Lytechinus pictus: one gene and its partner. The protein of the gene in region 1 purifies or fractionates together with the protein of each later gene. This does not show direct contact. Links are inferred from orthologs where the notes say so. Each region holds a gene or a part of one and is shown in the gene's direction. Other genes may lie near its edges.

Region 1 (17,166 bases):
ATGGAAGAAATGCATCCACCCCTTTGTGATATGCAGTTAACCAAGGTGTAGTAAATGGGTACCTGGCAGGAATATCCATTCCTTGAAATGACTGTGCGATTGGATGACAGCAAGTAAGGGTAATGATAGTACTTACCATCATGAGCACTCGCAGAGTAGACATGGTTGCTGTGTTTGTGTGTGTGTGCATTGTGTTCAGGTCTTCTTGCATATAGCCATGTGCATGCATGATAACAAGTACATTGGAAACGCAATAGTCGCTTTGACAAGGCCATTCACCAGTTTTATTAATAATTAATAAACAAATAATATTGAAGTTAGTCAGCACTTTATTTTGGGGTTCAAATTTGAATCATTAAAAAAAGGCAGCAGGTGTTACAAGGGCCGGTTGTGTTTGTAAAATAGTTTTGTATATAATGCTGCTTACAATACCTTTGACAATAAAGCATTGATGATAGAAATTAAAATTCAATTTTCTTACCCATTGCATCTCCTCTGTCATAAACATTCATCTTCCAAGAGCTGGATTCTAATAACAATCAAAAGAAAATATATTTGTAAATTAAACATCAATATATTTTGTGCTTGTTTTAAGGGTAATGCAAATAAAACAATAACACATTCCAAATAATTTTTTTTTCGTAGTTCTTAACCATAGGTATCATCGTCCATGGATACTAGATTGAGTAATTACACAGACAGAACAATTCACCACATCTTGAAATCACAACGTCCTGTAAAAAGAAAATTTATCAGACAAGCGGAGGATGATTTTCTGGTAAATTGCTGATTATTTTACACCCACTTCATATATGTTCTGTTTGGTCTACAGTACTACAAGGCAAATTCATCAATAACCAGTTTGTCTTCTTACCAAGGGAAGTGAGTGACGGCAAATGAAATTAGCTGAAATTGCAAAAGCTCCTACAACCTTTGTACAGATTAAGTACACAAAAACCTAAAAATAAGTTAAATTGAAGAAAAAAAATCTGAAATCTACTAAAAAAGATTAACTCTCAGACCCCTGTTACCATGCCTATTTACCATTTTGTCTAATTTCAAGTTGGGCTATACCCATGTTGGTTAATACCCACTTGGGTTGGGCCTAATAGTTTTCAAATTTTCAATTGAGAAAGTAAAATATAAGGATCCCATTCCACAGGATGGAGACCTTTGCAAGACCAATGAAAGACTAAACACTAGCAAAGTCTTCCAGCATTTTCCATGATCACTTATATTTGTGGTATCTGAGGAATGGCTCTGAAACCCCCTAAAAGAACTCTGAGAGAGTTATGGTATCAGACTATCTAAGAAACCAACTGTTTGTGGACCAAGTGATTATGACACTGATTTGCTTACCCATGCTAACAGAAGCAGTGGATTCCTTTGTCTTTCCTTCAGCCTTGTCTCTCAGTGTTTCATGGACAATTTGGATGACTGGTAGACAGAACGCCTAGTAGCAGGAGAATTAAAACACAAATAAGTAGACCTTGCATCTTTCATATTGGGGCCTACTCTATAAATATTGGTTACTTTGCCATCCAATGGTAAACAAATAATGAATGTTTATGAGTTCAATAGACAAATACAAATAATCCTTTCAAAGATGAGTAGCAGAGATGAATGGATCACTCATTTCATCTTTCACCGAATGAAGTACTCTGTCCATTGCACGAATGAAAAGAATATTCATTATTTGTTTTATATGCCATCTAAAAATAGATCCTTGTCATCTAAAATATATGAATTTGGATGCATAAGAGCATGCAGTGCAAGCATGGGCTGTTCAATTGTCGCATACACATGCAGCAAACGCGAGTGCTGGTGGTCTCGGAGAGCATGCAAAGGTCAAATCGTATGGATCCAAAATTGCAGGATTGATGATGTCATTGTAAAACGGGCTGAATGATCAATATCAACTTATCAAGTGACAGGGACCTATCTAGGTGTCATAATAACTCCTGTGGAATACTTTATACCATGGCCATGAAGAATAGCATCGCTTGAATTGGTAACTTACCCAGAATGCAAATTTTTGCATAACTTTGTACTAACAAGAGAAATAACAAATTGCAATACCCACTTAAATCTCTAACATTCATACCACAACCATGCTGCAAAGGGACTTGGATTACAGAATACCTCAAACCAAATCACTGTCCTTAAAGTAAGATGTGAGATCAATACAGGAAACAGCGGCATGAAAAATACAATTAAATCATGATGAAATTGACCGTCTACAAGTATTAGCTTACCCCAGTTTTTCCACTTCCAGTTTCAGCAGCCTATCGAATAAACAAGAGAAAAAGTGAAAATGTTTATACATCAAATCAAATAAGACAATTCAATCTTCAATGCAACAAGTCAGGTGTGGCAAGTAAAGGTACTCCTTGTTTTTGTTTATTGGGCACCCCTGAAAGCCTATATCAGACCTTACCCTGAAAACAGCACCAATAAGCAATCAAATCATAAAAAAATAAACATTTATTCAGAGTGTCATTGTTTTATTCCTAATAGAATTGAAATTTGTTTGATCTTTCCATATCTCTACATCAATCTTTTTAAAATGAATTCATCTTTTTATTCTTTTATCATTTTTATTAAAAGTATTCTTAATTTTTCATTAAACTGTTTGGGACCATGAATTATTCAAATCTTTACTTGATCAGCTTTTATTATCCAAATTGGCATTATTTTTTTTTCTTTTTACTTTCATTGCAGTTATAACTATCTTTCTTTTATATTGTTTATTTAGCCTTCCCAAATACATATGTGCATAAAAATTTGAAAATATCGCTAGAGGGTATTCATTTGTCTCGCAATCTACTATGGTCAACAAGGAAATTCGTGATCACTCTCACAAAAAGTGTTCACTAGCTTTCTAGGAAATTCGTGATCACTCTCGCAAAAAGTGTTCACTAGCTTACAAGTTCACGAATTTCCCAGAAAGCTAGTGAACACTTTTTGTGAGAGTGATCACGAATATCCTTGTTGACCATAGTAGATTGCGAGACAAATGAATACCCTCTAGCGATTATTTCAGTCCGCAATAATGAACCTATTTAGTATTTGAAAATATGTTTCAAAATGAGAAAATTGCCAATCTGCATACAGAGACAACGATTTTGCCACTCCCAATTAAGTTGCCAAGCAAATATTTTGATTTTTTAAATTACTTTTGGCACATAGGCATTTATCAATGTGATCCACCCCACCAAGGCTATGTTACTCTAAGGTTTCATTCATACCATAAGAACATCTCCACCCCCGAGGATGAGAGGAATGGCTTCAGCCTGAACATCAGTAGGCAACCTATGATGAAAAAAAAAAGAATAAAAAATACAATACTCAGCTGGAAATCCATCCTGAAATGAAATAGGGTTTTATTAAAATGAAAGTTAATTTGTCCAGAAAATATGATTCTCTATTTCATTTGTTTATTTACCGTTTGCACAATTCTTCATTTTTGTATCATTTCAAAGATCAGCCCCTCCTTTTAAAATAAAATATCAACATTCTTTTGTCCAGGGGTGGGGGGGTTAGGGTTTCCATTTTAAAGTTGTTTGTGAAGTTAATTCACAGCTTTACAAGTGATTCATGTCACAATTAAATATTTTTCTCAGTTGACATTTTTAATCTCATTTGCCAAAGTTGGCACGTATGGTAAATAAAAAATGAGAAGAATAAACAAGCATTTTCAACGTACAACAACAAAATTTGCCATAAAAGGTAACATTCTTGTATCAATATGTTTGGAATTTAAAAAAAAATCATGTTTATCACAATATCTCTGAGTCAGACCATTTCATTTAGGGCTTTATATTTTATCATTCAGAAAATAATAAAGTAAAAAAACTTTACAAATTATAGAGCCTGATGAATTTCCCCTAATATACTTACAGCCATCCCATTTCATCCACAGCCTGAGTGATCTCAGGGAGACAACCAAATTCTGAAGAAAAAAAAGACAAAGCCATGCTTGATAAGTTCTGGAATACAGAATGGTACTCTAACCCTTGGGAAATGACAGGACAAGAATGATTGTAAATATGCATTATGTACACTGGACACTGACATATGTATTAAACCTTGTAGATGAAAGAAAGAACTTGGATGGAATTAAGCTGGACCTGAAAAATACCTCCAGTAATAAGACAAATCAATTAGAATTTAGATGCAATATTGTACTTTTCTTGGCTTACCAGAATTCCAGTATTACTTATAAGAATATGATGATTCAACAAATGCATAAGTGTAATCTTAAGACTTCTCATGACTATAAGAAATTAAAAACATTCAAATCAAATGTGTGAAGTCAACTCTCACTCGATCTCAGGAGTCCCACCTGAGTCAGTGTGCATTGATATTCATGCATTGTTATTTTGGTTTTATTAATGCAGCCCTTTCATCTCAATCAAATAAGCTGGCGCTTGAGGCCTCTGGTATCACACTGCATTTGGCTAGACTTTCTTATGTCCCTCTAATAAAATTGTGCTTTCACAACATATTGCCACAGGGTGTCACTGCCAGCTAACTCCGCACTTGCAATGTTTTCTATGGCATGATTTCAATTTATTTGTGTATCTGCACAGGGTTAGATTTTGGATAATTAGGGTTAGGTTTTACGATGGACTTCGGCAGTTATTTGACATGGCCAAGTTTTCTCAGGTGTTGAGTTGACCTGGACCTGTGTCACAGACATGACAGACATGATTAATGTGCTCAAGGCTATGAATGAACTTCGGACACTAATACACATCATGCATTGGCCTGTGACCATTTAGATGGATTGCACCATCTTGTGTGTTGGCCGCTGATAAATGCCCCTTTTAAGATACGGACGCTTGCGTCGCGTAACGTTGGGGAAGAACAATAGAAAACAAGATGGCGGCGTAAACATCGGGCAAGTCTCTTCCGTCTATTCATGATATTTTCTTCATTTTTTTAAATGAATTCTTGTCTCGAAATAAAATCCATGGCGTAGAAATGTCGGAAATGAAGTTGTATCCCATGTACTAGACCAAAAGCTTCGGTCTCTGTTATGTTGGTTGTTCAGCTGAACTCCGTTGGCTTCATGCACTCACCAAATACAGAGACCGAAGTTCTAGCGCGATCTGTACAGGAGACTCAATGGCCATATGTTTATGTACTTAAGATCGGATAAAACGGGGAAGTGAATTTGCGCGACAGCCGAGGTAAGTCACTGTTTTTGTTCCTTTTAACTCGATTTTTCTCCGTTTCTTGGCAATTAATGCCAAGAGGGAATATCAATTTGCATTTTGGTCGCATTAATTTTCAAAATTTTTATTGATTAAAGACAAAAATTGAAGAGCCCCGATGGGGGGATTTTGCATTGCAAGTCCCCTAATGGTGGCTGCACGCTAGCGAGCCGTCTGTGTATGAGGAGAACTTAAAAAAAAAAATGTTAAAAAACTCCTCAAAACAGACGGCTGCCAGCTGTCTACCCATGTACATACATGATTTAGGGCTAGATCTTTTAGAAAGAAAGTAGAAATCTCGGGGGCGAAAGTTTCAGGTTTTTTGGTGGTACACACAAAAGTATAGGAAGGAAGACCTGGCTTCGTATGAGAGTAACCTTACGTTAGTAAATGATTTTTACTCTCTAGAAGCCTCCTGGCTACCCCCGCCCCCGGGTCTCCCAATATTGGCCGTACGCCTCAGTCTAACTTGTTACTGCTTAGCTTAGCTTAGTTTAGAGCCAAATTATAATAATGAACTAGTAGAAACTGACAGTGTTAAATAATCTGGCATTCATCCCTAAGCAAGAACAAGAGAAAAAACATAGCCTGCCATATTTCATCACTAAACAAAAAAACTGCCGAGCCCGAGGATCTCCGCGAAACTGCCCGGGCAGGGCCATGCGCTAGCGGTGCCAGCCCGGGTCTGGATGCCGTCGAGACTCGAGCGCCGGCCGTCGCGTCGGCGACAACGCGACACCCAGCTCACCCCTACCGGTACTTATCTCCGATTATTAATCATGATCAGCAATTGTTCCCTAACTGTAAGAGCCCAAATACATATCAAAATTATATATCCAGACAATGCAAACTAAAAAAAACCAATAAATTATATCGATCTACCTGCAAAGGCAGTCATTGTTCACGTGTTGGCGGAGCCGGAGTCAAAGTTGACGTTGAATGATCCTTCGCCATAGTGCAGGGGCCTGTTGCATGACGAGATGAGCGATACGTAGGAACGTCCTAGGACCATTCTTCCGAGATAGGAAGATTGGCGACAAATCAGCGCTTTCCGTTTCACGAAGGCAATTTTGTCTTTCAAGTCCGCGACATCGTTTGATATCGATAGTATCGGAAAAATATTTAGTCTTCATCGTCACCTGAACCTTTTATTTCGGAATGACGACTTGTCATAAAATCATATATTTCAATAAAAGGGGATCAAATAATGTTTTATTTATTACTGATTGTAGAATTGATGTATGGAGCGTACTTTATGAGGTAAAAAGAGAAAAAACTTTCAAGATTCACAAACATAACTGGATAAAATCGAAATTTTCATTATTTCACTTATTTAGAACACGGTGTCCTTTTAGAGACACCTTTCATTGATATTTCAACGAAAGAGACCCTTGTCCGACATAAAAATTGATTTAACTAAGTAATTTCGACATTTTATTAGTTCAATATACTGATTTATTATAGAAAACATATATATAATGATGATTTTGCAAATTATGCGTTAATATGTTATCTGTTGAGGTAAAAATAGGGTTTGAATGGAGTAAACAAAATCAACAGTGTCTGATTGTATGAGACTAAAAAGGAAAATATGAGAGGCTGCGTGTGAAAAATCTAATTTATTTATTTTATTTGTCAGATATAACGCAAGAAATACAAATGTGAGTGTTTAGAGTATAAACATACCTCAGTTGCATGATGAGTAACCGAAGACAAGGAAAATATGAAAATTGCTGCAAACATGTCCAAGTGGATAAAGTAGTGCTTTGCAATAACAATTAAAACATAGAAAAAGGTGTGCAATCCGCAATGGAAAAAATACTATTTACAGAAATAATGATAATATTACAATGATCATAAACGTTGGTAATCTTTAAAGTTGATCACTTAATTTATGGAAGCTTATATAAGAATAAGGTTTAAGAATATAAAAAATATATATGTTCAACATTTCAAAGTTGAGGAGTAGAGAATACATTATTGCTTTAACATTTTAGTAGGGGCCTAAAGGGGCCTACTCAAAGGGCCTACCCTAAAGTGAAAACGCGCCTCTTTGTATGGACTCATTTCCATAATCTTTTCTTTAATGAACTAGCTTATCTTCATTTGTAATTATTGTGATGGATTCGTAAGCTATAGGCCTAATCTCTATCTTAAATTCAATTAGGTATTTTGTTACTGCAGATTTTTTGTTTTGTTTCACTGTTTCAGTACATCTCAAGTTAAGCCCAAATCCGACAATTTATTTTCATTGATTAAAATTAATCTCAGCAAAAAAAAAATCATAATGAAAATGAAATAAAAATAAATGAATGATTTACCATGTTAAACATTTTAGTTTTGTATCTTTTTTTTTTGCTGAACGTTATAAACACGTTTTTTACCTTACATAATTTCTTTTAAAGAAATTTGTTTTCATGTTGTTTAATTATCTGTAATGAGAAAGCATGAGGGGTTAGAGAGATAGTGCCGCCCATTTCGATATTTCAAAAAAAAAATAATGGAAATGGTGTGGGGATAGGACGGACCATAAAAGAAAAAAATATTGGGGCCTACATTACCCCCGGACATATAAAGCCCGGAGAAGTTAAAATGACATCTGTTTTTGGTCGTCTTGCCGTGCAAAAAGACGACCTGCAATTAATGACAACTAGCCCCCATATAAAAAATAACTTGGCGCCATCCCAGATAAAATGCATCAGTGTGCAACCCAAAAAAATGTTTAAAGGTGATATGTCAGTGTGGCTTGCCGTAAACGCATTTTCTCTCAATGCCGACGGTGGCGGGCGGTGTGCAAAGAAGATCATGCCTACGTAGGACATGTCTGGAGGTGTCTTTCCAAGGACCATTCTTCGTATCGCCCAAATCGGCTTTGTGAAACAGTTGAGCGATATCTCGTTCTTACGTAGAATGGTTCTACGAAAGACCATTTCATGCAACAGGCCCCAGTAGCACGTCACTGAGCTAGCTGAGCTAGCGCTAGCTGACAAGACTGTCATCAATATTGGCTGTAGGTGGCGCGCTAGCAATTTTGGCGCGCTACACTTTTTGGATGCACGCACATTACATGATCAAAGGATTCTTTCAGGAAGAATTTTTCTTTTGCGAGGATTTGTAGGAAAATTTTCATTTCATACTCTGTTAAGCAGATGTTGTGCTAGTATGGCGAACATTGCGGTCGATAAAGATGCATTCTACCGGCGAATGAAGAAAATATACGATGAATGGGAGGTATGTTCATGGACATTCATTTTCTAATTTTAATTTTTAACTTGAAATTAGAAGGCCATTACCATGCCTTAGTGTGCTATTTTTTGTGTACACAAAGTGAATTGGGCATATCACGTTTCCTTGAAATTGAATAGAGGCTTTACTTCAATCATAACCTGGCAATTAACTCATAGCAAAATCTCCATACCAGTCACATTTGAAGAATTACATAATAAATTACAATTCACTGACTGTCATTCCCTTGTCTGTTGTCACGACGTCAGAGCAGTGTGTGTGTACTGTGACCTAGTCCTAGAGTAGAGGCTGTGTCTGTGTCTGTGACAGTGTCTGTGTTGAGACGCAGGGCCAGGGTGACCAGACGTCCCGTATTTCCCGGGATCGTCTCGTATTTCCCGGGATCGTCCCGTATTTCCCCCTGTTTCCCTTCGTCCCGCCAAACCCTTCTCGGGATGCCTGTTTGTCCTGTATTTCAGAATATTGAACAAAGTATAATTAATCATGTTATACATAGAAAAGTGAAGAATATTCATCAAATAACCAAACAGATGATGAAGCAGAGATAACGATAAAATCGATAACTGTTAACTTTTGCAAGTTCTACAGTGATTTTCTTGCTACCCAATAGCACTCACACGTATTGCGAGGTTAGTATTAAGTATACTAACCTCGCACCACGAACCGCGTTTGGCAGTGGATTTCTAACTAGTGGGTCGCGTGTGCTGGGATCTCACTTCTTGGGTCCACAACACACGACTTCTATGGCTTGATTTTTCTGTGCGCGGCAGCATGTAATGAACCCTTGGGTGACCCAATAGTAATACATTGCAAACGAACTGGCCTGCCTGTGTGTGGCAGGCTACTATAGCTAGGCATGTTGGATCGGAGCAGATTCTCAATGGTGCAAATAAATCTCACATGATAAACAGTTTTTCCACCAAAATAATCACAAAATCGGCAGCAAATTTGTATAATTATATTATGGATTCTCAGATTACTGATTTCGTGATGTAATCGGAGGAGAAAATTATTGAGTTTTCATAACTAGATCTAGTTTTTTCAGTTTTCGTTTTGAGTCTTTTTGTGATCGGTGCGAACTTGTAATGGGATGAGATCATGAGAGATGCCTGAGGTGATGCTGTGAAGTTTGACAATGTTTTATTTTGAATTCTATTCATTTCTAAAACATTTTAGTTTTTAAATTTTTTTTTAAAATATATCATTTAAAAACCCAAAATATTAGATTTTTGTTAAAATGATTGGATTTTTTTGTTTGCTTGAAGTTTGAACTTTTCCCTTTTTTTTTCTTCATTTTTCTTTCTTTTCTATCCTTTCTTCACCCTTCTATCCTTCCTTTTTGCCTTTTTTGTTCCATCTATCTTTATTCCCAATCTTTCCTATCTTTTTCTGATCCTTTCTCTCTCTCTGTTCATTTGTCTTTCCTTCTTTCTCTTACTTTCCTAGTTTCCTTCTTTTTTAAAGTTCCTTATTTTTATTTCCTTCATTCTTTCTTTCCTTAAACTTTTCTTTGCTTCCTTCTATGCCTTCCTCCCCTTTTTCTTTTTGTTCTTTCTCTCCTTCCATTATTTTCTATCTTTTTTCATTCTCTCATCTTTTCAATCTTTCCTCCCTCTCTTTAATTCATCCTTTCTTTCTTTCATTCTTTATTTTATTTTTCCCTTCCAATTCTTTTCCCTTATTCTTTCTTTCCTCCCCTCCTGATTTCTTCTTCCATTGTTTCTTTCTTTCAAAGAATGAAGGAAACATTTTTCTTTCCTTCATTCTTTAATTCTTCCTCCTTTGTCTTACTTTCATTTTTCCTTTGATCTTTATTTTTTTTCACACATTAATTCCCTTTCTTTCTTTTTCTTTCTTTCTTTATTCATTTCAAAGAACGACGGAAACCTTTTTTCTTTCTTTTATTCTTTCTTTAATCCTTCTCTTATTCTAACTTTCTTTCTTTTAATTTTTTTCTTGTTTCCTTAATTTTCTTTACTTCATTTTCTCTTTCATTTTTTTCTTTCTTTCCTCTCAGTTAATCTCTTTTCTTTCTCTCCTTCATTCTTTCATTCACCCTCCCTTCCTTTTCTTTGTATTTTTTTTGCAAGTCTAACACTGTGTAGCCTTATTTGTTGATTTTTAAAAATTATTATTATGACCTGGCTCTTGTCGATTCGCTTGTGCAGCGTGCTTTGTCGATTGTTCCGTATTTCATTTTGTGAAATCTGGTCACCCTGTTGAGACGTGTTCTCAAAGTCAAACTTGAGTGAAAAGTCATGCCTGGTCCTGGGACTCTTGCATGTCTTGGCTGTCATTTGACGGTTCATCAAGTCATGGACTTGGAGCCTGGGCTGTGGCTGTGCTATCTAGAAAAACTACTCTGTAAAAATTAACATTGGCGGCCGGGGCCTTGGCTTAGGCATGAGCTTTGCCACATCACATGTTTGTGATTGTGAGCAGTGTCAGTGTGATTCACCTGTTTCTAACAGTAACACAGTGTTTTACCCAATCCTGTGTGTTTAGAGTATAAACATACCTGTGCATGAAAAGTAACCGAAGACAAGCAAAATATGAAATTGCTGCAAACATGTCAAGTGGGTAAAGTAGTGCTTTGCAATTATAAAACATAGAAAAATGTGTGAAATCAATCCTCCATGGAAAAAATACTATTTACAGAATCAATGTTAAAATGACATTGGTTAAGGTTGATAGCTTTAAGGAAGTTTATATAAGAACATAATGCTTCAAGAATATTTAAAAAAATATATGTTCAACATTTCAAAGTTAAGGAGTTGAGACGTACTTTATTGCCTTAACGTGACATAGGGCCTACCCTACGATTAAAATGCACCTTTTCGTATGGACTTTCCATAACCTTTTCTTTTATAGATACAATGAACTTATCTTCATTTGTAATGATTGTGATGGATTCGTAAGCTATAGGCCTAATCTAAATTCAATTAGCTATTTTTTTTACCGCAGTTTTTTTTTTGTTTCGAGTTCCAACAATTCCAACAATTTTCATTGATTAAAATTAATATCAGCAAAATATAAAAAATAATGATAATGAAAATGAATTAAGAAATAAATAAATGATTTAGCATGTTTAGTAACATCTTAGTTTTGTTATGTGTTTTTTTTTTGCTGAACGTTGTAATCATGTTTTCTTTACTATACATAATTTATTTATAAAAAAATTTGTTTTCATGTTGTTTATCTAATGATAAAGCATGAGGGGTCAGAGAGATTGCCTCCCATTTCAATATTTCATGTTTGGTTGAAAAAAAAACTGGAAAAGGGGTGGGGGAAAAGAGGGAGAAAATAAAAGAAAACATACCAAACAAAATTATTTGGGCCTACATGTAGATTACCCCGGAAAAGTTAAAATGACATCCGTTTTGGGTTGTCTTGCCATGCAAGACAACCTGAAATTGATGACAGCCCACATGGCGCCATCCCAGATAAAATGAATCAGAGTGCACTCAAAATCTCGAATGACCCCCCCCCAAAATGTTTAAAGATGATAGGTTGCTTGCCTCAAACGTATTTTCTCACAATGCCGATGATGGCGGGTGGTGTGCAAAGATTAAGAAGATCATGCCTACATAGGACATGTCTAGAGGTGTCTTTCCAAGGACCATTCTTTATATTGCCCAAAATCGGCTTTGTGAAACAGTTGAGCGATATCTCGTTCTTACGTAGAGCGGTACTACAAAACACCATTTCATGAAACAGGCCCCAGTAGATCTAACTTAAATCTACTCTAAAGAATATAAAGTTAAAGGAGAATGAAACTCTTGGAGCAAGTTAGCTTTTGTGAAAGCAGAATAATCAAAGAATAAGATCAACAAAAGTTTGAGTAAAATAGGACTAGCAATAGAAGAGTTATGAGCATTCGAATGTCGAGATCACTAATGCTATGGAGATCCTCCCATTGGCAATGCGACCAAGATCTATGATGTCACAGATGAACAACTCTCCCCTTTTGGACACTGAAAATGTACCCCAAAACATCTCTTTTTGCTCATTCTAATCATATGACAAACGATTCTTCAATGATATAATGTTGTGAAACCTCTGTACTTGTCCTCTCATAAAGAGGACACCTCACCTTGTGAAAGACTCTATAAAAGTGAGAATATAAGTAAAATAAGAACTAAAGTAATGAGGGAGTTGTACGTGTGTGACATCACAGATCTTGGTCTCATTGCCAATGAAAGGATCTACATGGCATTAGTGATCTCAATATTCAAATGCTCATAACTTTCTTATTATTCATTCAATCTTCCTCAAACTTTCAACAATATGTTTCTTTGATTTTTCACTTTGATATGGATCCAGCTGGTTTCAAGGGTTTCATTCTCCTTTAATGGTAATACTGTAACGTTAGACCTACAGGCACGCTGCACAGCCAGTGAATTGATAATAATAATGCAAACGTATTAGATCTAGATCTAATGACTAACAGTTAACAGGCCTGCCAACCCAACCAGTACGATTTTCCCGTATTGAGTACAATTTTTTGATTATTTACGGGCATACGATTTTTCTGTATTTTAATACGATTTTTCAAGTTAAAAGATATATATATTTTACGTTTAAAAAAAAAGGGTATTTGCGATTTTTGGCGTTCCATACTATAAAGCTCATTGGCACTGGCATAGATCGGAACTTCCACAAACTCACACGCTAATCGCCCACTCAGTCCCTGACGCCGCAAACAAACGGTCTGCTGCCATTTTGTGTCATAAAAACATGTGGCTGCTGTAATTGTTTTTCCAACATTATGTACATGGCTATGCATTGTGGGGTAGCAAGATGGCGGATAATGGTGATTGAGGTACGCACAATATCCATTCGAGTAGATAAGACTTTGGTGGTTGAAAGGGCGAAGCGTGAGTGCTGGCCTGGCTTAACACTTTGTGTTGTTTGCGGCTCATGTGTGTGGTGCATTTCATGGCGGTGTTTGCTTGAACTCTCAATATTTTCATCTCCGATAATGGATTCATACCAAAGAAAACGGAGAGTAACAGTGGCGATTCCTCTGAACCATCCAAAAAGATGGAGAATGAGCAGCAGTGATAAGTAAGTTTGTCAAAATGCAAACTCCCGGCCCAGTGGATTAGGCACTTGGGGATGTGCCTGCTAGTGCCTGGCCGGCCACTGCCTGCCCTGATGATCGCGCTGCACTGGTTCCGCGGCCGTGTTGTGCATAATGGAGTCTAGCGTTAGGCTAGCTACGCGTACGCTAGGCCCGTTTTGAAAGTCCATTTTTTATGCACGTGTACACGGCGTGTTTTTCGGTCGTGTACACGTTGTAAACAATGAGAGCGAGTTGTTTTCAGTGTTTCCGACATGTCGTCACGGACCCGCATCAACATGTCAATGTAACTTAAAAAGGGGTCTATATAGCCTAAGTCACGGTTTTGAAGCTTACCTGGGAAGTTATAGAAGTATCAATCCACAAAAATTGGTGCAATTAAAGAGTTTACTCAGCTTAGCAGCGCATTAAATTAATAAAGAATGCAAAAGAAAATCAGTGCAGGGCCCTAGCTAGCGCCGACGTTCGTTGGATGCGCATTTTGTATACTGTACCGTACATAAGTACATGCATGCACAGATCGCTGCAGAATTAAGTGTAACTGAAGTTATCGATTGATTTTCATTATTTTATGTGTACGAGTGTATAACACGTAACTGTAGCAGTGATCGCTGTTGTAATTGGTGATTCTCAAATTGGCTCTGAGTGTGATTGAGCAACGCTTTCGAGCTTTCGAGACCAGAGCAGACCCATTTCGTGGTACAAAAACTTGAGTCTCCAGAATGAATGTGGATTAAATCGGCGCTCTAGGTTAATTGAAATATATTGACATATCAGTGATTAAAACGTGTCCAGTGTCTGAGAACTAAGAATTAATGTGAGGCTGTGAGTAACTTAGCTGTGAGCTTGTTCACTGACTTTACAGTCCCATGCAAGCTTTATGCAGATGCTACCGTGTACACGGTGATGGAATTTAGTACACGTGCACTGACTTGACCGTGCGTGTACACGTGTACCCGAAACGGGCCTAGCGTACGCTAATATTTTGTTCAATGTTTCCTAATTTTTTTCAACCCAAATGAGAGTAAACAGTGTGAAAACGAAAGGATGGAGCGATCTGATGATGTGGAGCACAATCTTTTTTAAGGCAGTACTTGGTTTACTCTTCAGAATATTTTATTAAGATTTTGAAATGTCTTAACTTTGAAAGTAAAAAAGTTAGACTCTATATGGATCTGGTTCATGAAACTGGGACATTAGAGTAATCAATTATCAGTGATAATTTTGCATTTATATGAGTTTCAGGCCATCTGATTAAGGTCAAAGGTTATTTTAAGGTCAATTTTGAACATAATATTTTTATTGTATGATTTTATTATTATTTTTTTATTGGCATGTGTGGAGGAAATGGCCCCTTTTTAGCTTTAAAAAAAGTCCCTACCGTGGGAAGGGAGGACAATCCCCCCTTTGCGCGTTCGGCGCATTTTTTTTCTCTTTTAAGTACAGTTTTTTTGGGGAAAATGCAGTTTTTTTTTATCACAGAATACAATTTTTCATTCCCAGAGGTTGGCAGGTCTGAGTTAAACCTATTTTCAATAAAACTTTTAGAGACAATTTCCAATCCCAGTCATGCCAGTTTTTTTTGAATTTTTTGTTTGTTTGCATTTTTGCTGACAAGTTAAAGCTAAAAAACCCAATGCATTTCATTGGCAGCAATTGAAATTGCGATTAGCAGATTTCTCTTATGACCCACTTTCAAATTTCAATAGTATAGACCAGGGTTGGGCTCAATTACAAGGTAATTGATCAATAATGTAATTAATTACAAGTTTTTGAGTAATTATAATTGTACTTGAAATTTTGAAAGGGAAAGTAATTGTAATTGAAAAAAATATACATGTAAATGACTTAAATTACTGTCAACTTTTAATTACAATCAATTACTTTACAATAAACTTACTTCATTTATGATTTAATGTCATGCCCTTTTTCATGTCAACTGCTTCAGCATCAAAGAGTGTAATAGGCACAATCTGTGCTCTTAAACATAAACTTTCCTCTTGTCAGTCTCTCTTTAACTTCGAATTATGTCGAAATAGGTGTTGCTAGTACATGTATACAGAATACAAAATTGATGTTATTTATGACTTTTATAGAAATGTTAAAAGTAATTGAAATTGTAATTGTACTTGACAAAAGTAATTGGTAATTCATTGTAATTGAAAAAAAAAATGATTTGATTGAAAAGTATTTGTAATTGAACATTTCTTCAATTACATAATTGTAATTGAAGAAAGTAATTGAGCCCAACCCTGGTCTAGACCTATCACCTAGGGCTAGGCCCTAATCTTTTTTGTTCAATTCCAAATACTGAACAAAGACATGAAAATTGATGTCTGTCCTCAGACTGACACATAGCTTTAGTTACAGAAAATTCCAGTCAAGTCCGAGATAGGAAATTCTAAAATGTTTTTTTTTTAATCATATCTCTTAGAATGAAGCAGAGAATAGCAAGCTGCACTCCTTGGATGCTATCGCTTCAGCGGTTGGTGTTGATGAGGATATAGTGTATGCAAAGTCAACTGCTCTTCAGGTAATTCCATCTTATTTATAATCAATTATGTCAGTTTAAAGCAATCTGTCATGAATTCATTCCGAAATATGATGCAGGGATCATATTTATCTGTTTAAAAAATATTTTATCTTCAAAATACTTTTTTTCTGTACAACTTCAGTAATCAGGCCTTAAATTGGAATTCAATATACGGCCGGGGTTTATTGTATTTTACTGTGGAGCACACTTCTTAATTACAGCAAAATGGGAATATGAAAGAGACACATCAAATGTCCAAGGCTGATGAGATGGACATCATCATCCCGGCAATGCTGAATGGTTTTGAAAGTGGATGGGGGGGGGGGGGGGTCCTATGTAGGAAATCACAATCAGATAGTATTTTATATGTTTTTGAACATGCTTAAAAAATAGGGCTCAGCCCCCCCCCCCCTCCTGGTTCTGGGGCTCCTGTCATCATCATCATTTCCACCAACATCATCTTTCGCTGATGTGGTTTACGGTACACCATGTGAAGTGTTGTAGAAACAGTGGATAGGAGAAGAGAAGAAATGGATAGGCGAGAAAGTGGAGATTTGAGAGTAGAGTATTCTTTCTTGAAAGTAGTCCTGAAAAGGACTGTAAACCAGGAAAGATTGATGAGTTGAGAACAGCTTGAGTAGTAGAGCTAGTGAGGAGATGCTGGCTTGAGTCGGCGAGTAGAGATGATGAGTAGTAGAGAGACTCGACGTTTCGGGCAGGTTGACTGTCCGTCTTCAGGAGTACACTTCTTACACTCCTGAAGACGGACAGTCAACCTGCCCGAAACGTCGAGTCTCTCTACTACTCATCATCTCTACTCGCCGACTCAAGCCAGCATCTCCTCACTAGCTCTACTACTCAAGCTGTTCTCAATCTTTCCTGGTTTACAGTCCTTTTCAGGACTACTTTCAAGAAAGAATACTCTACTCTCAAATCTCCACTTTCTCGCCTATCCATTTCTTCTCTTCTCCTATCCACTGTTTCTACAACACTTCACATGGTGTACCGTAAACCACATCAGCGATTGTACATACCACCATGCAAACCTTCAAACAACATCCAACATCATCTTTATCATCATCAAC
Region 2 (16,957 bases), about 2.0 Mb from region 1:
AGAGGGTATGAAATTATGAGTTTGATGATATCTGCATTATAAATAACCGTTAGGCCTACAATTTTTTGACAAAATTGAAATTTCGGGTAATAGTATAATATAATATTATTGCGCGTTTGTGACGTAACAAAGTGAAACATTAAAATTTCATAAGTCCGTTATTGGTTGGATTTTCATCAAGCAATATTTGTCTAGATTCGTTTCGCCCTTCTAGCGACTTAAACAAGTATACATGCTACCCCCCCCCCCCTCTCCGCTCTCCCGATATTAGGCTTTAACTTTCTCTCTCTCTCTCTCTCTGTTTTCCTTCTTCTTCTTCTTCTTAAAGGCTGTGCATGTAATATCCAAACAATACAAAGAATAAGAAATCACAATAAAGTAAACTAAAACAAAACAGAAACAAAGCGGAAAGAAAAAGACAGAAACAAAAACAACGAAAATAATTATGTAAAAACGGATAATCAATATGAGGACTTTTACAAATTCAGATTCAAATAAATCAAGATAAACCGTGCGAATTATGATCTGCCAATGAACTGACTGTAGGGATTGTTTCTGACCTTACATGTTTGATTGACGGTATCGAATAGCTATACCTGTTTTTGTACAAAAAAATATCCCTGCTTCCACATAGATGCCAAGATATGACACCCCCCCCCCCCCCATTTCGATTTTCATTCCCCGGTTTCATTCACGCCAGTGGGGTTTTATTGGTTTATGATCAAAGTTATTAGCAGATTAAAAAGTTATTGGAACCCCCGGGATAAAATCATATGCAATTCAAAATTATAACCATACTCTCATGATGCAGCGGATATAATCTTTGCCATAGGCCTAAATCTCTAGGGAGGCTTGCATGGCAAAATTACTTTTAAGATTGAGAGCTGGAGCGGATCGAGGAAGTCTGCGTTCTTAGAATGCAAAATTTAACAAATTAAACCGAGTTTGACTGCACTTTATAAAAGAAATATTGTTTCTTTCTAGATAAAAGTGTGTGGGGGATGATTACGATGCCGTTGAAGGCCTATACTGGTTATGTTATTCTCCCTCTCCGGGGGGGGGGGGGCTGACAGCTGTAATGAGCCAAAAGTTTTGGGCTCGGTGTAAAAATGGCAGAGGTATATAAATGGCCAGTCTTAAACCCCCATGCCAAAAACCCCAAAGCCCCTCCATGTATACAGTAGATAAAATAAGAAAGGTTCTGAGAATAAAATTAGAGTTATAATGTTTGACTAATGGAAAGGGCAACATTTTTAAGTCATACTGTAGATTTTCTGCACCAAAATTGATAACACCTGAGTTGGTTTTTCTTAATTTATTCCTGGACTTACATGCACAACCTTCTCATGTCAAATCGCTCTTCTAATATTCAAATTTGAAGCACACTTTGGATCCCAAGTATTCTACTTAGTTCATTAAAGGGGAAAATTCACCCTGACATAAAATTCATTGTAAAAATAGCAAAAAATAATTAAAATGATATTGGTTAGGGTTTAAAGGAATTCATCAAAGATTTAAAAAGCTATTAGAATTTATATTTCAATGGTGATGTCATTTGCGAGCAGTTTTTTTTCCATATATGGTGTAATGAAAAGTATAAATGAAATGTCATTTTAAAAAATGAAAATGGTTTCTATTGTTTTTCAATTTTTTTTTATTTCAATTTATTTCATTTTCAACAGAACAAAGTAAAGTGGTCGAAATAATTTCAATGAACTTATATACAGACAATATAAATTGAGGCATGTACAATTTATTATATTTTTACATAAGTAAAACAAAACAAAGTATTTTAAATTAGCAAAATATCATTATAAAATAAAATTCTGAGAAAATGGAGGGATCCACTTAAAAGCAGTGCTTGTATTGTGTGGACCCCTCTAAATAATTATTGTAGTATACATACAAATCATTTCACATCCGCTCCTGAAAGACTGTTTAGCAGTCATGAACCACTGATTAAAAATTTGAAAAGTATACGGTATGGTGCACAAAATACAGGACAGCTGCTCGTATTATACGTATATGACGTCACAGATCAAAAACTCAAACTTCTAATAACTTTCTGAATGTTTGATGAGTTTTCCGTAAACCTTCACCAATAATTTTTTCTGCTATTTTTACAGTAAATCATTTGTCAGGGTGAATTTCCCTTTTAAAATAGGTCGATAGAATGGTACCTAAGAAAAGCCTATAAATTTGAAATAAAATCCTTGATTCGCTACACATTTCCAAATTCATGCGGTAACTGTTACCATAGAAACTAGTTTAGGAACCTGACATTCACTGGACTAGCTGCAATGAGGTATTGCTCTGAAAAATTGAACACTAATTGCTATTATTATATCATTTACATTAAACTTAACTCCTTAAAAAAAGTTTGGAAATATGACTTTGATCAATAATCCCTCCTCGGTTTTTGTAAATATCAATGTGTAAGAAATATTAATAAATAGATCATTAAATTCTCTTTAAAATGATACCCTACATGATATGATTATGGTTCACATGGAGGTGCAGTGCCTTGAAAAGTGGGGCAAGGTCAAAATTCAAAAGTTGCAAACTGACACAATATTGAAAGTCACTGTTCCTTTTTTCCTAGGTGATGAGTGAGTTTTCTCACCGGTTTCTTTTAATTGTTTACATGCACCTTATCACACCTCTGCATGAGCAAACACATAACAAACAAACAAACAAACATGCATGGGTATTTCAAACCACGACTCAAACCATGTTATCTCACAGAACCATCACTACATAAACCACAACAAAACATAAAAAATGAAGAAGCAGGGGCTTGATTTGAATGGATTTTCATCTCTATTGACACAGACAAAAGAATCATGTTCTGTATTGACCATTCATGACTATTTCTGCTCGTTTTGCAGCTTTTCAATTCAGACCTTATCCAACACTTTTGAATCCTGCTCTTTTCATGATGGCATGATCATAACAAGCATGGTATCATTTTAAAGAAAATTAAATGATCTTTTAAATGATATCAAATATGCAATGTGTAAAATTGGGAGTTGGGAGAAATTAATGGCCAAACTAAGATTTCCAAACTATTTTTTGCTCGTTTTGCAGCTTTCCAATTCAGACCTAATCCCCCTCATCCAACACTTTTGAATCCTGCTCTTTCCGTGATGGTATGATCATAACTAGCATGGTATCATTCTAAAGAGAATTAAATTATCTTTTGAATGATGTCAAATATGCATTGTGTAAAATTGGGAGTTGGGAGAAATTAATGGCCAAACTCAGATTTCCAAACTTTTTTTGAGGGGTTTATATACGTATCATATCAATATCTATTCGGATCCATTATGATGTTAAAATATAACAAATAACTTTTATTACAGATCGTTTTGTTATTTTTCTGTTATCCAAGTATTGCAAGTGGTTCGAAGAAATCCCGAACTTGTCTATTTCAGTGTGTTAATGGTAGCCAAGGGCGCCGGAAGCGGGGGGGGGGCACTTGCCCCCCCCCCTAAATAAAATTTTGATGGGGCAAAACGAGATTTTGCCCCCACCCCAATGTGCCCCCCTAAAAGTAGAAAAATGATAAATTATTTAAGGACAAAAGTAAATGATGAAGGCACTTTTCTGCCTAAAAATTGTCATTTCTATTGTCAAAAATGAAAAAATTTCGCCCCTGACGGGGCAATTACATATCATAAGTATAAGCCTTGCGTCTTTTGACGAACATGTCCCTCTGTGAAACATACCTTTGATAAGCCCCTTTTCCATCTTATCACAGTGTGATAACGTTTAAAGTGATTGGTTAACATTGGTTTGACTTTAAAAAATCTGAGCTAGAAGGTCACACTTGTCACCTGTGTCTGTGATATGTTACAAAAATGAAGCCCAGAAAAAATTGCGTTTGAAAATAATTAATTAGTGCTTCAAAAATTGAAATATAAAGTGACCGAAAACACCATCTTAATTTCATCCCATACACTTATGTGTACTATTTAGGCGTCTATAAGACGCCTATTTACAAAATCGGGGTTTGCCTTGTAATTTTAGCTTTTCATTCTCAATAATGGTTGTTTTCAGGGTTTATTAGTTCTAATACATGCACTTGTACACATGTTTCATCTTGGTTTGAGAATTTTTTAAATCGGCTGCTCACAAAGTTAAACAATACCTTTAACCTTTTAATGAATACATTTCAGACTAAAACCGAATGGCAAATTGAAAGTGGTTCACCAATGCGTGCTGGCTGTACGCGCGGTCGCCCACCCGGAAACGCTCAGACCGGACCCACTAACGCGCGTGAACGCTAGTTATACCCCCGTCACACTTATTCGGAATCAGCAGGAATCGGGCAGAACCAGCCGGAATGAAGAACTTTCAAAATTCGTGCCACATTCGGGAGGGAATTTGAAATTTTCGCTACTTTTGCAAAAATGTCGTTAAAATACTTAGAACGTCCTTTGATCCCGCCTCTAATGATTCTTGCACATTCGGGTGTATTGACTGTCGAATGCAGCTCGAATACAGTCGGAACACAGGAAGAATATTAAGAATGCTGTTAGAATGCAGCAAGAATATTTAGAATGCAGTCAGAGAGCAGTCAGAATGCACTTTGAATGTCGTTCGATATTTCTCCACTTCGGATGCACTTCGAAAGTTTTGAACATGAGCAAAACATTCGGGACGGTCACAAGAATGGACCCGAATGTCTGGAATGCACTCAGAATGCAGTCAGAATTTTTAGAATGCGCTTCGAATATCCAGGAATGTACCAAGAATTTTCATTCCGACGGCATTCCGGCTCATTCCGCCTCTAGTGTGACGGGGGTTTTACTCGAGCAACATATGGAATCTATGTCATAGGCCCTAGGCCTATAGCTGTCAAGCCCAGAAACCATAACATCTCAAGGTCGTCATACTCTAGTCTAGTCTCAATCTTCCAATTTCTCGCCTATCAATTTGTGTAGTTCTGAAAATGACTGTAAAACGGTATCAGGGGAGTGTTTCATCATGTCCATGGTTTCATCAATATTTTCACCGACAAGTTGTCAGATCTGACATCTTTCCATGATTTTGATTGGCTGGGAGGCACTGTTCCTATGGTAACTGTCGGATAAAACGTCCGACAAGTCCTTTCATGAAACGCCCCCCAGGACAACTACCCCCCGGACAATTACCCCCGGACAACTACCCCCGGACAATTACCCCCGGACAACTACCCCCCCGGACAATTACCCCCTAGACAAAGGGCAAATTTTTAAGTGCTCTGTTTAATGTCCGTTTTATGGTGTGAATATAACTTGCAGCTTGCGCTATGCGCTCGCATTATTTGATTTGCCAAATTATATAACAAACTACTTAAAACCCCCCTTTTATGACAGTTTACCAAAAATTTCGTCTCACGATTTGCGCTCGCATTTTTGTTAAAAATATATCAAGTCACAAATCCTATTCAAGATTACAAAAGTGCTTAAAATATCCAGTTTTCAGGCCTCAGTGTCAACACATTTTACTCACTCATTTAGGCTTATTACATTAATAAATATGATAATAACATTTTCATGAATTCTTAATGACTACATTGTCCCTTTTCAGAAAAGAATATCGACAATATCACAGTTTCATATGTTTCATATCGCGCTCAGGAAGAGGAATAAGAAAGTTGTCATCATTTTCATATGATGACGAAATGTCCTTAGACCTAGAATGTCCAGGTCCTAGGTCAAAATAATAATGAAGATATCAGCTCGCGCTTCACACTCGCATCATTTATTAAGTGCTTTCCACATCCACTTCACAATTTCCCTACACAATGCTTTAGATAGTACTCAAATTCACCATTTTCATACCGGAACATCAAGTATTTTCCGCTCGCGCTTCGCGCTCGCATTGCTTTTTCGATGAGATTAATATCTTGCTCAATATAGGCTGAAATGGAGCTTAAAATATCAAGTTTCGAAGTCAATACACATAACATATTTCATCTCGGATATCGAGCTTTCATTATTTTTAAATTTACAAATTGATTTTTCAAGTGCTCTGTAAAATGTCCGTTTTATGGTCTAAATATTAATATTTTCAGCTCACGCTGCTCGGTCGCATTATTTTATTTGCATAGGCCTACTTCTTTATAAATTCTTACAAACCGTCCTTAAAATGCACCTTAAACGAATTATATACTATCATGATTGCCAATTTGTATAGAAAAAACACTGTATTTGATTATGTCATATTGTTTACAATTTAGTAAATTTGGTACTTAATTTCCTTCTTTAATGTTTAATTGCTTTCACCCAAGAATAATACACACAAAAACATTTTGTAATTTACCAGGTGTTCTTGTGTGTATTATCTTTGCATAAAGTTTTTTAGCTTACTGTATTAAGTTATAAAGCCACATCTTAATCTGGAATGTGCACCAATTGTTTCATAATTCTTAACTTCTTGTTAGTTGAACTGTTTTAAAATAACAGATTTATAGGTCTACTTGACAGTGTTAGTGTTGATAGTTGTGTTATCGACTTTCAATATTTCTACCTATGAAGGTGTCTTTTTTACGTTTTATCTATTTGCCTGATTTCTTTCCTGAAATTAAACCCAAAATAAATATTTAAAAAAAATCAGATCAGTTGGAATCAGAGATATTCAGCATTTGTGATTATTATAACTAATCGTGTTCAATTGTTATATGAAAACTTAGAATGAGGGCCAGTTTACAAATTTTCTGATGTATATATGCATAGCCAAACGGGAGGTTTCGGGTGCGAGCCCCCCCCCCCCCCATTTTTCATGATGCAGAAGGCGCCGCTAAACAAAAACAAAAAAGGAAAAAAGAAGAAAGTGAGAGAACAGGAGAAAGAGCAATATAAAAGAGAAAGAAAAAGTTATTAACGTAAGGTAAAGTAGAAAATATTTCGGAAACCTGTGCCACCGACCAAAACTTACAATGGGTCCTGCTTAATTCTAAAATTGATGCTGGAGAGAAGGGGGGATTTTCTGAAGGTAATTGTCCGGGGGGTAGTTGTCCGGGGGGTAATTGTCCAGGGGGTAGTTGTCCGGGGGTAATTGTCCCGGGGGTAATTGTCCGGGGGTAGTTGTCCGGGGGGTAGTTGTCCGGGGGGTAGTTGTCCGGGGGTAGTTGTCCGGGGGGTAGTTGTCCGGGGGGGGGTAGTTGTCTGGGGGGTAGTTGTCCGGGGGGGGGGGGTAGTTGTCCGGGGAGGTAGTTGTCCGGGGGTACGTAGTTGTCCGGGGGTACGTAGTTGTCCGGGGGGTAGTTGTCCGGGGGTAATTGTCCGGGGGGTAATTGTCCTCGGGGGGTAGTTGTCCTCGGGGGGGGGGTAATTGTCCGGGGGGTAATTGTCCTCAGGGGGGAATTGTCCGGGGGGTAGTTTTCCGGGGGGTGATTGTCCAGGGGGTAGTTGTCCTAGAACCCTGTAAAACAGAAAAGGATAAAGAGTTAAAGAGGCTTGAGTTGTTGGATTATTGGATAAAATAATGTCGTCCGTGTATGTAAATGTACATAAATAAATGTTTCTGAAAGGATATTGCATGAAAAATGTAATTTCTGGTATTTTGAGTCAATATAAGCGTAATACGTAATTTAATTGATCAGACATGAAAACCACATTCCGAAGCGATCGTTTTGCGCGAAAGTTCTCATAAATTAATATTTAGTGAAATCTATGTTTAATTCTCAAGAAATTTATTTTTGAATGCTCTAATTATAGAAACGCAACTTTTATACTCCATTTTTACACAAAGTCGACCGTTGGGGGGGGTCCCACACCCTCTCCCGCTCGATCGCTTCGGTATCTCACGCTGTCAAAAATATTGTGCCCCCTTCCGAAGGGGGCACAATATTTTTGCCCCCCTAAAAGTGAAAGTGTTCCGGCACGCCTGATGCGTGGTAGCGCACATTTGGTGTTTACATTAAAATTCGTTTGGTAATATGTGATGAAGTGCTGTTCTACTCTACGAAATGGCCAAGATAAATCCTTTCATTACTCACTAATTGAAATCATTTTGGCATGACAATTGTTGAATTTAATCATATCAACGATAAAGCTGACCTAAAATGAATAAAAAATCTAAATAATATCTTATCAGTTCATAATGCTCATTCCGTCGATATATAGGAGTCCATTCAAGGCCAATGCATTATGACTGATATTAACTGGAAAGGCTCTGTCTTTTCCTTGTTGATGTAGCATATGTCATGATCTTTACCTCAGTCATTTTACCTCTGCCATTTTTACCTCTGCCATTATTACCTCTGCCATTTTACCTCTGCCATTTTTACCTCTGACAATATACCTCTGCCCCCCCCCCCGGGGGGGGGGGTACTCGACCAAAAAATTGGTAGGTGTGTGCCGCCGGCGAGACAAAAACCGGGGGCCTTGGAGCGGACTTATTGTAAAAAGGAGGGTCCTCGGAACGGGCTTTTGAACTACAAATGCTTGTGAAAACGGGGGTCCTTAATGGAACGGGTCATTTTTACCTATGCCATTTTTACCTCTGCCATTTATGCCTGGCACCAAGTTTTGAGGGGGCCATGCAGATATGGCGTATCGGGCAAAATGTATAAAAAGTTGCAAGTGAGCTAGCACAAATTTCGATATTTCAGTATTACAAATTATTATGATCGACTTTGACATTGGCCCTAAGTCAGAAAATATTTCACCCTTCCCTCTTTTTTTTTCTTGCATGGTCGTGTTTTTTTTTAACCCTAACCCTTCCCCTCCCCCTTAATCTCAACTGTACGCTAGCGTACTACTACATGATACATCTATTTTGAAAAGAAAACAAATATAGATGAACAAAGCAAGTTGAAACGAGTCGTTTCCAAGACTTGGCCGGATCATCCGGGCATTTTTTAGACCACGCGCATGCGCTCTGAAAAAAGTTCGATACTTAGCCATTTTTCTGCGATCCTCATCCGCCATAACGTGGAAATTGGTTAGACAAAGAATCACCAAAATGAGTTCGGTAAGTTCGCACATTTTACTCTATTTTGTGGTGTTAGTGTCATAGCGTGAATTGGAATATTAGTGTATGTGGATTGAGATGGTTTTTATGTGGAATCAGTGTGTTAATACGGCTGCCGCCTCTACATCACACATGTGTTAGTTTTTGTTCGAGGTCGAAAGGAACGCTTCGCCATTGAAATGCACACAGTTGTGCTTCGTACTTAGTTATTTTTGCGTTCGCCCTATATCATTGCACACAGGGCGATAAGCTCTCCGTACCGTACTTAGTAATTTTTTTGGCTTGCTCCATATGCTTTGTACATGAATGGCATGCGTGTGTATGGTGTGGTGTGTGCACGAAGTCGGCGGCTTGATCAACGTGACCGCTCTAATCTGTATGCCCGGTGTTTGGCCCATACGTCATTTGAGATGTTCCGCTTTTCACATGCTTTCTATGAACTGTACCAGTACCGGTACTGCACTGTGGAGTGGTGTGTGACGTAAATTTAAAGTGACATTCATGTCCAACTTGAAGATTTTAATTTGATGAATTCTAATGAATGTGAATAATATTTTTGAGTGCTGGTTGTGGTCTTCAAATATGAATGGTGAACCCATTACTGGCATTAGCATTACCATGTTGTTAAGTAAAAAACTTACCTTTTTTTAAAAGAAAGTCCTCAAATGAAATGGTGAAATTGAAAGAATTTAAAGATTTTATTTTATTTGTAACAGTTAAACAGTTCAAATTAAGTCTTCTTTTTACACTATTAAAGTTAGAATTTGGAGTCTTGGACTGGTAATGAATTAAGAATTGTTGACGTCTGATTGAAATCAATCACTGACCATTTTTTTTATGGAACAGATGTTGAGTTTGATTGTAAGTTTCTCAAATACATAGATCTATTCTACTACATGTACTACTACTAGATCTAGATCTGTCTTGTCAATTTCAAAATTTTTTTTTTTAATTTAAATATTATTTGCCTTTGCTTGATGGCTGATGTATTTTTTTTTTCCAATTATGGTTTTGTGACCTTAATTCGCGTGTTACAAATATACCTAATTTTGCGCACAGTCAAATATCTCAATATCTAATATCTTGAAAAACTGATATCAACAGCAACGGAAAGAGAGACCCAAAATCAGGGTTGGCAATTTTTTTTAATTAAAAAAAAAAATCAGATTTGTATGATTTAAATCAGATTTTTTTTTATTTAGGCCTACATAAAATAAGTCTAAATCAGATTTTTTTTTTTAACAATTTTTTTAAAAACAAAGTGCAAAAAATAAAAATACATTTCTAAAATCGTACATTTCACTACTAAAATTATTCTGAACTATTTAAAATTAAATCTAGTCAAAATAGATAAGAATATGTAAGTCGTAATGAAGATGCTGTTTTCAGCATCATCTCGTGTAGAGTATTTAGCTCCTACTGACTGGTAGTTGAGGAACCGTCTTCGTACAGCTATACTGCAAAGTTAGTGTTCCTATTCAAAACTCTTAACATGAAATGAGGATTAGTTTCTTTGGAAGAAACATTGCTACATTGCAAGATTAACTTCCATTTCATTTACTACTACTTGATTTCAAGTACGTAGATATGAAGGATTTATTCATGTTTTAATGATATAAAAAATCTGTCTATTTTGAGTAAAAAAAATCAAACTGGCACAAATAAAAAAAGTCATATCATTTGTACATGTTTCAATGGAAATCATGATTTAAAAATAAATAATTTCAACTTCTATCTGATACAAAATCTTACCTTTGTTCAGTTGATTTCTTTCTAAAGCTTTGCAAAACGATCATGCGCAAATTAAGGTCACACTTTTTTATGATAGTTTTTCAGCCGAGCGCATTAGTCGATCGCCATGGAATTTTCAGATCGCGATACCAGCAAAACCCTTGACCTACGGTACTTTATAATTCTGTCAAGTGAATTTGATCTTGCCTTCCATTTGGTATTTATTATTTTGATTAATTTTGTGTGAACTGAGAAATTTTTGATTGAAAATCAACTTTTTTAAATGTGCACAAATTATGGTTACCCTATCATATGTTTTATAATTTGGGGTTTTATTTTTAATTTATCTTTGACAAAACTGATAGAATTATAATTCATAAATTTGAATTATAACCTTAAATTTATAACCATTTGTTAGTCAGCAATCAACATGACTCACAATTAATTTCCAGAAAACCTTCACCTGAATTTTGTGGGGCCTGCATTCTTTTTATTTTTTTTTATTTTTTGCTAATTCCATGTATATTTGATATTTTTATTGTTTCCTTTGTTTTTATTTTCTTGTTACAGAAAGTGGACAAAATAAAGTCTGGTAAGTAAAAAAAGTATCATTTGTCCTTTGTTGATCATGAGAAAGTAACTTATAAATTATGAAATAAGACAATTTTATATACTGAATTTAAAATGATACCAATTTCATGACAATATATTTTGTTCATATGAGAACAAAACATGTGCATGTTTTTGCACATATATTATCTATGTTTAGCGTGTGCATGCTGTAAATTTTTATGGAGGCTAATTCCGTTATTATTTGTTGTAGAAGGTTGATCAAAGTATCAAATTGCTCAGAATTATCTTTTGATGCTTTGATCTGAAAAAAGTGGCAATTCTATGTTGTATAGTGCCGTTACGCACGCGCGCAATTTTTTGAAATGCTTAAAATGACATGATTCATACTCTACTTTGGTCAAAAAAGTGATTTTGAGCATTTTAAAATTTTGACGTGCGTGCATAACCTTTAAATGACCTTTGATGAAATGGACAGTTGACCCTTGACCTGAAGTTAATGTCATGAGAATATGGTTAATTTTTTATAATTGATAATGAAGATATGATTGATAATGTGATTTTACAAAATGGCATCATGATGACCTTTTGACCTTGAACTTGTTTTATAAACCTCACATGATAAGTCCCCATTACTGATGAAAATTTGAAGAAAATTGATGATGCAGATTTTGAGATTTTGTGCTATCAAGAAAAGGGCGGAAAAATAATATGTCGATCGACAGATCACCTAATTAGATTCTGAAGCTGACTTTGACAATGTAGTTAAAGAAGCAGACTGAATCATTCAAATCAGAAACTGCTTTCTTTGACCCATTCAACATTGAATTCATATTTTGTCGATTTTTTTTCCATTTAGACAACCATTCTAGCAGCAGCCCAGCCAAGAAACCATTATCAAATAGTCATAACACTTCCAGCTCGAAGCATAAAGACCCTAATGCCAAGCCCAGTTCCAAGTCGAAAGAAGGGGCCGTCAAGGTCATATTGCTCAGTGATGGCACCAAGATTAAAACAATGCCAGACGGGAGCAAGATCAAGGTTATGCCTGATGGCCGCAAGTTTAAGATGAAGCCTCCGACCTCATCCTCAGCCCCAAAGCAGAATAATAGTTCACATTCCAGCCGGCCGAATTCTGGATCCCCACCACCCAAACCGACATCAAATTCATCCAGACCAGATAAACCACCGCAGAAGCCATCGCACAATGATAGCATTAGCAAGTCAAAAGAAGACGGAAGGCCTAAAGAGGCACCCAAGCCGAGTAGCTCCAGTATGCGCCCAAAAGAGAAATTGGCCTCATCCAAAGACATCAACTCAAAGCATAAAGAGTTTTCTTCTTCAAAGCACAATTCCAAACATTCTTCTTCATCCAAGCCAAAGGTCGAGATCAAGAGGGAGAAGCCTGAGATAAAAGAAGAAGTTGCCAGTCCACCTAGAATTAAAGAAGAAATTAAGAGTCCTGAGAAACACATCAAGAAGGAAACAAGGTAGACTTGACCTTTTCATTTCCAGTTTATTTTTAATTTTGAATCATGAATTAGTTTTATAAAGAATCAAATTCTTGAATAAATGATATGTTGACATGGGACTTTGGACTTTTGTTGGGTATAAAGGATGAAGAGGTTTGGATTCAAGCAAGTTTTGTAGCCCTGAAGCCTATGGATTTTTGCTAGGTTTAAGGCATTATAGTTTAGGTATTTCAAGAAGTTAGAATTACTTCCTTGTGAGCGTTGGATACTATCCATATTTTTAAGCATCATGATATGCAACTCCAGCTAATTGAATACTTCTGAAATTGTATCAGTTTTGCCATTTATGAATGAACTGCAAAATTTTATCTCTTAAATCCTCATTCCATCAGCCCTGTGAAGTCTGTGAAAAAAGAATCTTTGAGTGAAGAAGATGGGGATGAAGATGAAGATGTACCTTTGGTAAGTTTAGAATATCTTTGGATTTGACTTTGCTATCTGTCTCAAAAAGTTGTTCAAAAATGTTTATCAGATAGTATTAAACAGATTACTCAACTGCTGCTTTTACTTTATAAAAAAGGCCCTTTTTTAAAACTCATGAACAATCTTACAATACAAGGAATGATTGGGCTTATGGCAGGTTTACCAGTGTGCACATCAATTTTTTAATTTCTTAATTTCTCTGCATTTAATTTAAATAAATTTGATCTTAGGATGGACTTTTCCATTCCACTAATTTACATGGATGTACTTTTCATCCGTTCATAATTTATTCATACCAATCTGCAAATATATTTACAGCATAGAATGATATGTGTAGTTATTATGAACTTATGATGACAATCAATTGATGGAGTTCATGTGAAGTTGAAGTGAAGCAAAGTAGCAGTAGCATTCCTACATGGACAGCCCAGATCAAAGTTCAAGTTGACTCTGACAAAGGATACATGTAATGCAGGCCGATGTACTTCTCTCCTGATATTTTTGTGGGATGTTACCTTTGATGTTAAAAATAAACCATTTTTGTAGCACCTGTACAAATTTAATTGATGTCTTATTGCAGTCCTTCACGTTTATAATTTCGTGGAGCTCTATAAATCGCTCTCCTTATTTTTCTGAGGAGCTCAATTGAGCTCCTCAGAATCGCTCTCCGTGAGGAGCTCAAATCAATTCATTACAATACATGTATGATAAATTGTAGATTTTTCTTAACATTGTATATATGCAGTAGCTGTGTTAGCTATTAATTAATCTGTGGTGAAACTAGGCCTGGGTCACGTCAATACGTTTACAAGATGTCGTATGCGCTACTGCTAAAAAAAAAATTTTTTTTTAAAATTGAAGAAAAAAAAAAAAAAAAAAAATTGCTAAAATTTTTCATTTTACATCTTTAAATCCATGAAATGGCCTTCTTTTTTCCATAATACCTTGAAATTACTTTGATTTAGTTGAAAACTATCAGAAAAATGAAGAATATTCACCTCTTTCCCGACTCTGATTTGAACTTACCTCGGTAAATATTGTAGTCCCACATGTAGACTTTCATGGTGCTGCCATGAAAATCTACATATGGGACTGCAAATATTTACCGAGTTTAAATTAAAATCAGAGTCGGGAAAGAGATGAATATTCTTAATTTTTCTGATAGTTTTCAACTAAATCAAAGTAATTTCAAGGAATTATGGAAAAAAGAAGACCATTTCATAGATTTAAAGATGTGAAATGTGAAATTTTAGCAATTTTTTTTTTCATTTTTCATTTTTTTTTTTTTTTTTAGGAGCGCGATTTTTTGCTCTCCTTATTTTTTTTAAGGAGCGCGGTAGGAGCGCCGGCGCGATCGCGCTCCTCAAAAATGAAGGTCTGTTATTGACTAGTCTTATGTCAACAAGTTCAGTCCCTTTTTTAGTGATTTTTTGCATAGTAGGCAAGAATTTTTTTTTTTTAAAGCTGGAAATTTTGAGGACTTATTTTCTTTATTTGTTTATTTGAAATATATTTGAGTTTTATTAATGAAACTTTACAAAATATATAAAAGTGTAGTTAAACCGATTAACTGAACCAAGGTTTTATATTGCTAGGACATTTCACTCTTGATTACAAATACATTTAGCCTTTACCTTTTCCATTTTACAGAACCAACGATTTGATGATAGCATCAAATCAGAACGCTCAGAGTCTAGGAGAGCAAGTAAGAGACCACATTATGCTGAAGACGATGAGGATGAAGATGAGGAGGATGATGATGTCCCCCTGTCGGAAAGGTAAGCTGGTCCTTGATTACCAAGTAGATTGCAGATAGATTGTTGTTCAGATCAGTCATCAAATCAACATCAAATCTTAACTTAAGGTTAAGTTTTTTAAATGACAGCATAACTTAGAAAGTATATAGACCTAGTTCATGAAACTTGGATATAAGGTTAATCAAGTATTACTGAACATTCTGCCTGAGTTTCAGGTCACATGACCAAGGTCAAAGGTCATTTAGGGTCAATGAACTTTGACCAAGTTGGGGGTACATGTATTTGTTGAATTACCATCATAACTTTGAAAGTTTATGGATCTGATTCATATAACTTGGACATAAGAGTAATCAAGTATCACTGAACATCCTGTGTGAGTTTCAGGTCACATGACCAAGGTCAAAGGTCATTTAAGGTCAATGAACTTTGACCATGTTGTGAGTATCTGTTGAATTACCATCATAATTCTGAAAGCGTATTGTTCTAGTTTATAAAACATTGTGATAAGAGTAATCAAGTATCACTGAACATCCTATGCGAGTTTCAGGTCACATGACCAATTCAAAGGTCATTTAAGGTCAATGATCTTTGGCCATGTGGGGGTATTTGTTGAATAACCATCATAACTCTGAAAGTGTATGGATCTAGTTCATAAAACTTGGACAGAAGAGTAATCAAAAGTAATCAAGTATCACTGAACATCTCGTGCGAGTTTCAGGTCACATGACCATAGTCAAAGGTCATTTAAGGTCAATGAACTTTGGCCATGTTGGAGGTAAATATTAAATTGCTGTCATAACTTTCAAAGTTTATGGATATAGTTTATGAAATGTGGACATAGGGGTAATCAAGTATCTCTGACAATTCTTAGGTCACATGATCAATGTCAAATATTATTTAGGGTCATTGAACATACATGTAGTATTGTATCATTATATGAATGGTGTTTTTTGTGAATAATTATTTCATAGTAGTTTTCAAAGTCCGCAGTGCTGCTATATTGAATCGCGTAATGCAGGTGAGACTGCCAGAGGCGCTCCACTTATTTATTGTTTAAAATATTCTAATTTTCTAAGGAGTGTCATATGGAACAAAATTTTATTCCTTCCTGAACATGTGGAATATCCATTTTTTAAATCATTTTGTAGTGAAATCAAGCAGGTCTTTATTGTCAAATCTGTAAAAAATGAAATATTGTATAATTCAAACAATAAAAACAAAAGAAAAAGTGAGTGATGTCATCAACTCTGTCATTCGTAAATATAACTGAGTTGTTCATATAATTATTTTGTGAAAAATAAATGAAAATTTAAGGTGTCAGAACTTTTTTATTTTACATCCGCTTTTGATGAAAATTTCTTGGTTTTGCTTGTTTGATTTTATTCTTATGATTAAATTTTTTTTTTTTTCTGTTGTGGACTTGACCTTAAGGTATTTCTATATATAAATATAAAAGTATAATTATTCATATATAAAACGTTTTTGTCTCACATGCATAGCAGAGCGAGACTATTGGCGCCACTTTTCAGACAGCGGCAGCAGCATAATTTGTCAAAATGATTTTTATGTTAATCTGCAGGAAAGGGTCTGCAAAGAAGGTAAAGCATGAAGAGCCTGTCAAGAAAAGTTCCAGCAAGAAAAGGAAGTACGAAGAGAGTGAGGAGGAGTATAGTGCAGGGGAAGAGGATGAAGATGATTACAAACCTTTGGTATGTAGAAATTTCATAACATTTTTTTCTTGAATGTCTTACTCTCACTCTTTTGGACTATCCTTGGGCCTGATTCATGAAGAGTCATAGCTATGGTAATGTTGCCACTATTGGAAGTCCCATGGTAACACAGCTCATCAACCAATCACAATCAAGGCAGTAAGTTGTTGGTCTTTGTGAAAAGGGCCGGAGATAAAAATTCTCTTTCAACGAGGCACATAATTTTCCTAATTTTTTTTTTTAATTAAATTTTTGGAAAAAGAATTTTCAG

Evidence for each region.
Region 2: the proteins of FACT complex subunit SPT16-like (region 1) and DNA topoisomerase I, mitochondrial-like fractionate together in Homo sapiens (co-fractionation; 3 studies listed by BioGRID and IntAct, with this or other methods). This does not show direct contact. The link is inferred for Lytechinus pictus from reciprocal best matches to the Homo sapiens genes SUPT16H and TOP1.

Annotation. Positions count from the first base shown.
Region 1 is NC_087246.1:61,407,575-61,424,740, reverse strand, and holds the start of FACT complex subunit SPT16-like, read left to right. Parts: upstream 1-7,878; 5' UTR 7,879-8,381; coding exon 8,382-8,450; intron 8,451-15,982; coding exon 15,983-16,081; intron 16,082-17,166. Other genes in the region: ATP-dependent RNA helicase DDX1-like, read right to left, coding at 482-529, 1,360-1,453, 2,256-2,285, 3,249-3,312, 3,901-3,952, 6,102-6,117. UniProt on the Homo sapiens protein: Component of the FACT complex, a general chromatin factor that acts to reorganize nucleosomes. The FACT complex is involved in multiple processes that require DNA as a template such as mRNA elongation, DNA replication and DNA repair.
Region 2 is NC_087246.1:63,385,541-63,402,497, forward strand, and holds the start of DNA topoisomerase I, mitochondrial-like, read left to right. Parts: upstream 1-8,838; 5' UTR 8,839-8,955; coding exon 8,956-8,964; intron 8,965-11,265; coding exon 11,266-11,287; intron 11,288-12,124; coding exon 12,125-12,755; intron 12,756-13,129; coding exon 13,130-13,199; intron 13,200-14,870; coding exon 14,871-14,998; intron 14,999-16,556; coding exon 16,557-16,686; intron 16,687-16,957. UniProt on the Homo sapiens protein: Releases the supercoiling and torsional tension of DNA introduced during the DNA replication and transcription by transiently cleaving and rejoining one strand of the DNA duplex.